2 linked regions of the Oryzias latipes genome follow. The protein of the gene in region 2 interacts with the protein of the main gene of each other region in a pairwise test. Links are inferred from orthologs where the notes say so. Each region holds a gene or a part of one and is shown on either strand. Other genes may lie near its edges.

What was found.
Region 1: the proteins of atp6v1d (region 2) and c12h9orf16 interact in binary tests that used the Homo sapiens proteins (3 or more experiments, as listed by UniProt). The two-hybrid records come from large-scale screens. The link is inferred for Oryzias latipes from reciprocal best matches to the Homo sapiens genes ATP6V1D and BBLN.

Annotation. Positions count from the first base shown.
Region 1 is NC_019870.2:12,173,895-12,177,280, forward strand, and holds c12h9orf16 (UPF0184 protein C9orf16 homolog), read right to left. Parts: upstream 2,043-3,386; 5' UTR 1,773-2,042; coding exon 1,694-1,772; intron 1,272-1,693; coding exon 997-1,271; 3' UTR 738-996; downstream 1-737. Other genes in the region: surf2 (surfeit locus protein 2), read left to right, coding at 2,752-2,826, 3,055-3,206, 3,340-3,386. UniProt on the Homo sapiens protein: Essential for intermediate filament organization in intestinal cells, interacts with intermediate filament and regulates intestinal lumen morphology.
Region 2 is NC_019882.2:5,865,763-5,870,170, forward strand, and holds the start of atp6v1d (V-type proton ATPase subunit D), read right to left. Parts: upstream 2,912-4,408; 5' UTR 2,750-2,911; coding exon 2,709-2,749; intron 689-2,708; coding exon 571-688; intron 448-570; coding exon 368-447; intron 197-367; coding exon 129-196; intron 47-128; coding exon 2-46; intron 1-1. Other genes in the region: eif2s1 (eukaryotic translation initiation factor 2 subunit 1), read left to right, coding at 4,005-4,245, 4,356-4,408. UniProt on the Homo sapiens protein: Subunit of the V1 complex of vacuolar(H+)-ATPase (V-ATPase), a multisubunit enzyme composed of a peripheral complex (V1) that hydrolyzes ATP and a membrane integral complex (V0) that translocates protons.

The sequences.
Region 1 (3,386 bases), on a different chromosome or scaffold from region 2:
CTTTGTGGCCAGTGAGAATTGAAGTTTTGAAAGTTGCAGACCCCTAATCTAGAGCTATGTCTGTGTGTGAAAAAGCCTTAGGTGAGCTCTGATCCTCAGATGGATCTGCATGAAGGTTCATTGTCAACCGTCAGCTGTAAAACACATTTATATTCAGAGGTTCAGTCATTGCTGATCAGAAAACATGTAAACAGATGTCATCTTACTAATCAAATACAGAAATTGGGCAGGAAAGTGTATTTTTTTTACATGGTATATGGTGTATACTTATATAGCGCTTTTTCTACCTACAAGGCCCAAAGCGCTTTACACTCACAGACCCATTCACTCACACATTCACACACTGACATGTCTTGTCCTCTTAGTCACTTGAGGCTTATTTTGTCCCGTAAATACAGGTTCTATTTTATGAAGTTCCTGCACATGTTGGAGTACAAAATAAATAAATTGTTAGTGTTGAAGTGAAGGAGAAAGATGACTGTGGCTTCTATCAACACCAGATAGTTTTAGAGCAACCGGGGAATTATTTATGATATAAATTCAGGTGAAAACGTTAGTTCTCATGTTCTTTTAGAGATATATTCTGTAATGAGACATCTGACTATTTTTGACATTTTATTTTGATCTTTTGTACTTAAAAACATATTTCATATTCGGGTATTAACTCGAAATAAGACAAAAATAAACTAAATAGCACAATCTGGACCAGCACAATGACATAATCCAGGACAACAGTACACAAGCATCTGGGTTATTTATATTTGCATACAATAATTACAAAGCAGGGAGCTTTTTCCAAAGCAAATGATGCAGGTCAGTAAAAATCTGACCAGGAACCACTACCAATGTGTCATAAATCATCCAAAGAGGAAAAGATGGAATGTAATCTGGGAAACCATTGAAGCACATGACTGCTATGGACTAAAGATAGCTTGTTCAGCATAGATTAGGAGTTGAAGCCACCTTCTCTGTCTTTCCACACTAAAAATAGCAGATCTATGCACTCTTATCATTAATTTCTGAGCCCTTGTTTGTATTTTGCTCTTCCTTGTTGGACGGAGAAGCTGACAGCTCTGCAGATTGGTCCCCCCCCTGGATGGACTGCTCCTCTTGGTTTTGAGACTCAAGAATCTGGGCCCTGAACTCAAGGCGAGCTTGCCGGTTCGACTCCAGCAGTTCGTGCAGTTTTCCATTAAGTGCATCGTTCCGGTCCTCCAGGTCATCCAGGTAGGAGTTGATCTGGTCCAGCATGGAGTTTATGGCAGCGTACTCTGTGAAGGAGCACAACAGTCCAACATTAACGCCTGATGAAAGACATGGAGATTCAACAAAGACTGGAATGAGGAGAAATATAAAAATCAGAGCTTTGATGTCTGCAGTAAAATATAAAAAAAAAATTGTGACATTTTTCATATTTTTATGCAATTTTAAATAAAGTTGGGAGTTTTTGTTTTATTTCTTCTATTCTTAAATAAGGTTTGACCTACATTGGAATGCACTATTTTTTCCCACCTGCTAATCCATTTAAAAGTCAATGTCAAACCAAGATAAATGTGTACGAGGATGACCCTACACTTTGGTAAACAGTTACTTTAGGCAATTTTGTAATTAAAAATGAAAAGAAGGCGACAGAAAACAGGTGTTGTAGTGTAAATAAACCAGTTAGTCAAATCACAATGAACGGAAACATTACCCTCATCGCCAAATTCGTCCTCGTCGTCAATAATCCCATTGTCAGTGGAGATATTTGGATCGCCATTTGGTCCAGACATGATGACGAAGACACGAACAATATTACTTTAACACACCGATTACGTCTCCTTTGCTGTTCTTTTGCTAGCTAGATGCTTGTTAACCAACTAGCATCGATGATCTGCAACCATCGGGTCATCAGAATTACAAACTTATCTTGAATTTATTTTCAGATGATCGACTTTTGGTTTAAATAGTTATTAACAGCAGCTCCTCGGCAAGCCTGACATCTGTTGTCGACAGACGTTGTTTTAAGATCCAATTGAGTGCAGGAAATAAATTGTGTTCTATCAGTCCATAGTAAGAGGACTCACTACCAATTTATTGTCTGAATGAATGATAATTTTAAATCAGTTCTATTTGATGGCACATCGTTTTTATTATTAAAGGTTTTAGACTTTATTTTTACTTATTTATATCGTATTTACAGTAGTTAGTAAAAAATAAAGAATCTTAGTTTTGTAGACAACAGTTGTAATTTTGTAGAATATATCAAGAGTGACGCCTCTTTCTACTCAAACAATCTTGGTGCTTGAACTGTCACAGTCATCTGACGCAGCTCACATGACTTTTAGAAAATGTTTGAATAGTTTTGCTGTGTGTAGTTGTACACGGATTTTAATTGTCTACTTTCCATTTAAGTACACACAAAAAATATGTCTATTACTTGAAGTCGGATTTATATTTAAAACTTATTTTTTTGCCAGCAGCTTACTGATTTGCCCGCTATTCTTTTAAATTAAAACGTAAGGTTCCGATAATCTTATTATTTTAGATTGGAAAAAATAAACGTCAGATTATTTCTTTTTAGATTTATTTATCATTATTATTTGTTTCTGTTTAAAATATGTGACCGGTCCCGGTTTTGACCAGTGGGGGGCGCTTATTTTAACCCACTGAGTTTGCGCAAATGACCACGTGTATGTAGCTTCCGGTGGAGTAGGGTAATATTTTTTTTACCAGGAACTTTGTTTTGAAGATTTTGTTCTTGTTACTACTATGGAGGATTTACCTGCGGACCTCAGAGCTTTTCTCGTCACTCAACCGTTTTTTGAGCTTACAGATAATAAAAAGGTTAGCAACAATTTGCATGCGTCATTTGAGACACACGTGCACCCAAACAACTTTATGCTAGCACAGTGCTAATAATTAAGTGGAATGGCATTGTTTAACAATTTTAAATGTAATTGGTCGCATCGATGGGGGGAGGGGGGTAATATTATTTTTTATATACAACCACTCATATTTGTCATACACTCAGCAGCACCGCCTCGTTTTAACCATTTACATGTTTCTTTGCAGATCAAGTGCACTCTGAATGGTCATGAACTTCCTTGCAACCTGACTGAGCTGCAGAATTTCACTGAAGGGAAAAAGTATAAGAAACTGAGCTCTAGAGCTGAGTTCAACTACAGCCAGTATGAACCACATATCATTCCCAGCACAAAACAACCGTAAGGCCATTCTATGTCAGTCAATTATTTTTGGGGGTTAGGCCAATAAGTGATCAAAAGTGCACACAATGGAACAGGATAGTTTGGATTTTGGAATGTCTTCTCTGATGATACTTGTCTTTTTTTCTTCCAGCAATCAGCTTTTCTGTAAGTTGACTCTCAGGCATCTGAACCGGGAGC
Region 2 (4,408 bases):
CTGTCGCCCCCTTCTTGGTAGTGCTCAAACACCGGGAGGGTGACACCTGAAAAGGATGAATACGGAGGATGTGACAAATGTATCCACATTTCTCAGAGTGGTGACAATTAGAGGATGCGTGAGCTAACCTGCAACGTTATCTTTCTTTGCCCGAACCTTCACCTGGGCTTTATTGACATTCTGGATTACAGTTGTGCTGCGGACGGCGAGTTTAAAAAACATTTAAAAACATACATTTAGAAATCACATTATAAATGCATATTATATGAGAAAAATCTAATTTGCATCAAATAATAAAGAGTTAAGTAAATATATTTAGCTGGAGAAATGTGCCAGATGTCCCATTTTACTGCATTTCTATTCTCACCTAAAGTCTCCTGCTGCAAATTTGGCTTCAGCCAAAGAGAAAGCAGCTTCCCTCATCACCTCTCCCATCTTGGTTTTTGTCTAAAAAACATGAAATATTTACGTTTAGAAAGCTCTGTGGTCACTTATTTGACTGTTTTAAGCCAAATCGATCAACAAAAATTTCTGTTTTGATGTCATTTATCACTTGGTTTTTTTACTGACTTCAATTATTTTGCGAAGGATCTGACGAAAGCGCATAGAGAGGGCGTCCGATTTCTTCTTCAGCAGGTTGCGGCCGGTCTGAGCTCCTTTCAGCCGAGCCTTCATGATGGTCTGAGCCCTGCATACACAAGAAGAGCAAAACACTTTAAATGTGCTTTATAATATATCACATCATTTAATGCATTCTTTTTGCAGTCAAAAAATTTGCAACTATAAGAGAACTTTGCAAAAAATGTATAAATAACTACAGTAATATTTTCTCTTTTTCAACTCAAAAGCACTTTAAACTAATAGTTAAAGACAGTGTACAAGATAAAAAGCACAAGAAATGTTTTGAAAAACCGCCAAAGGTACATAACTAAAATGTAGAAAAATCTAGAATTTGAAAAAGTCATAAAAAAATAAAGGCAGAAAAAACATTTTGCAAGATCAACAGGTGGGTTGTGTTGTTTGAAAAACACAAAGGAGGCCTGACTACTCTGCGAGGACAGCAAAAACCACCATTTTGGAGTAAAACAGAGAATTCTGTCTCATTTCTAAGGAGTGTTGTGACCAAAAAAAATGTTAAGAAACACATGGACTTTACCGCTTTTTTGATCTGGCTCTAAGACTTGAATTTATTGACTTGTTTTTGCTTTTTTTTTTTTTTCCATTAATGGGTCCAAAAACCAACACTTGTGTCTGAATCTGTTGGGTTAAAATAACCTGCAACATTTGAACTATTGAACAAGGAAAGAAAGACAAACAGACCAAGGCTGCAGAAAACGCCTTTGTTTATACAGACACTTATTTATGTGCTGCACAAAATAGTTCCCAAACAAAAATGTAGTGATATTCATGGAAATCTAACAGCGCCCGTTCATGTTTGGTGTTACACCCCCCCCCCCCCCCCCCACACACACACACACACAAACATACACACAAACAAAATCTTCCGGCGGGCGCCGTGTCACGCACTCAAGAACGCACGCAGCTTGTAATGGAAAGGAATAATTAGAACGCAGTAAATTTGTCGTATTTCCTGGCAAGACAGAAACTTCTATTGTAGAATGAGGATGTGTGTGTGTTTCTGAAACAGCGCACGTGTTTGTGTGTAGATAGAGTGTGCACGTGCTGCATGCTTCTCAAAGAGGAGAGAAGGACAAGAGTGATAAAAGGTTTCCCATAGAAACCCTTGAAGTCTGAACACAGGACTAGCAGAAAAAGTAGGGCATCACCGCACCTTTTTTTTTTTAAAGGTTTTTTTTTTTAAGTTTTGCATTACTGATAAAAATATATATATATACATTTTGTGTGATTGTTGAGCCATTCATTTATGAAATGTAGCTTTTATATATTTATAAGGATTGAATAATAACAGTGTTAAGATCTTTTTTGTAAATAACTAACGTTTAACGTACGCGATCCTTTCAAAATAAAATACATGTGAGTGTCAAATACGCTCCTCCTGCTGCATCACCTTTACTTGCAATTATAAGAACTTTGTCACTAAACAGCAAGAAAACAATATTGTGCATCTGAAGATAAGAATATGTGCTTTACACTTATTCTAAAAAAAAAACTGCTCTGACACATTAAACCTTATGACATCTGCCTGCTTTTTCAAAGCCAAAGAGCCAAAATGGAAGAATAAATGAGCTGCTTGTGGCTCAGGGACCTCAGGTTGCAAACCTCTGCTCTGATGTCATGTAGGTATGTTATTAGAACTCTGACAGAAGGGCAAACACACAAATTTAACGTTTTTTTTGGTCTGGAAAAGAGTCGCCAAGCTCTAAATTTGAAATGCAACCAAATTCTCGGTATTTGTTAATCTCAAAAACAACTATCTAATTTAACACGAATTTGAGTCCCCTTGTATGAGCTAAAGCAACATTTGCACTGGAACAGGTTTCTTCAGACAGAAAAACCTGTGAGTGACCAACGCAAGATGTTGGAAGCATCACATGACACACAAGGCGGCTCCTTCCTCTTTAGCGTCCAGACAGCACGAAAAGTCGAAACCATACGTGAGAAACACGTTTATGTAAGAATCAATCACAAACAAATAACCGATAATCAGCTAAAAACCCAATGAATCAATGAAATAATGTAGTTAAGCTAAGTGAGTTAGCAACTAGCAAGAAAAACAAGGTGCTTACATCCTGGACGGGAAAACGTCGATCCTTTCTTTTCCAGACATCTTCTCGGCTTTTGCAGGATACGATCTGAAAACGGGGCGTTGTATAAAAATGTGCTAAACAGACAAACAAACAACCGTCTTCATTCGGGATTAGTTGAAAGACTAAGGTAACTGCCGTGATCTTGTTCGTCCGTGATGATCAGCTGGCCTCTGGTCATGTGACTGCCCCAAGCTCGCACTGCACATGCGCGAAGCGATAAGCGCTCAAGATCTTTTCCGGGTCGAGCAGCTAGTCCACCTATGAATGCGAGCTAACGGCCTCAAATAATTAGCTGAAAGAAGTAGAGGGAACCAATATTTAGAGCACATAACATTCAAGTGTGTAGTTCTGTAAGCCCACGACACAGGTGAGTTGTTATTGACAGAAAAGAAGTTCGATGTTTAGCGTTAAAACAGGCGGTAGTCACAGCTAGCTGGCTAGCAGTTAGCCGCAGCTACATTGCACGCGCCACACGTGAACCCGGTGGTTAGCCAGGCAGCTAGCACGCATTAAGTCAATCCTTTTGTGTTTAAATAAATATCGTAACTCTTTGTGATTGATTGCGCATAGATAGGCACTTTCAAGTAGTCAAAGTGACCTTTTACTCGTTTGATAAATGCCTTGTTTTGGTTCTGTTCGTGCTTGTTTGTCCGCATTGCATCATTTTTATTAAAATATGAAACAACGAAAATAATGGATATTTAAAGCCTTATTAGAACATTACTAGATATATTTTAACAATATAGCATTATGTGTTATGGAAGAATAGATCGTTTCACTTCCTAGAGGAAATTACAGGATCTTAGATTCTACTTTATGGTGGTAGAAATTCAAATTTTTAGGCAATTCAAACTAAATTGACAAGTTCTTGATATGACTGATTAAAAAGTAGATACATATTGATTGGTCCATTTAAATGTTCATCCCAAACAGATGGTTTTTCTTTTTGCTGTGTTTACCAGAGCTAAAAATCCACTTTCATGCAATCCAGTCAGTATTTTTCTTAGTAGTTTTCCTATAAACTTCTATCTTAGCTATTATAACCTCAGTACTCCTTTTTATATGTTTACCGTACCTCATTTTAAATCCATCTCAATCTGGCTTTATATCACAAAAACCCAAATGAGCTCACCATTCTGTTAACATTCTTCAAACTTTGACTAGAAAATAAATAAGAATGAATTTATGCTGAACAATGAAATGAAAATGTTTCTTTTTAGCATAAGATGTGTTAGATTTGAACACGGTTTTGATTTTTGATGTTTTTCGACAGTGATGCCGGGGCTCAGCTGTCGATTTTATCAGCACCGGTTTCCAGAGGTGGAGGATGTTGTGATGGTGAACGTGCGTTCCATCGCAGAGATGGGCGCGTACGTCAGCCTTTTGGAGTACAACAACATTGAGGGCATGATCCTCCTGAGCGAGTTGTCCCGTCGGCGTATCCGCTCCATCAACAAGCTCATCCGCATAGGTCGCAACGAGTGCGTTGTTGTCATCCGAGTAGATAAAGAAAAGGGTGAGTGTTGCTGAATGTCTTCATAATGAGGGGTAAATCTTTGCAAGTGAATGCCTTTTTTACTGTTTTCAAATTCCTTTCTTATGTTCATTTTCTTCTTTTTTTTCCAGGATATATTGATTTATCAAAAAGAAGAGTTTCTCCAGAGGAGGCCATCAAGTGT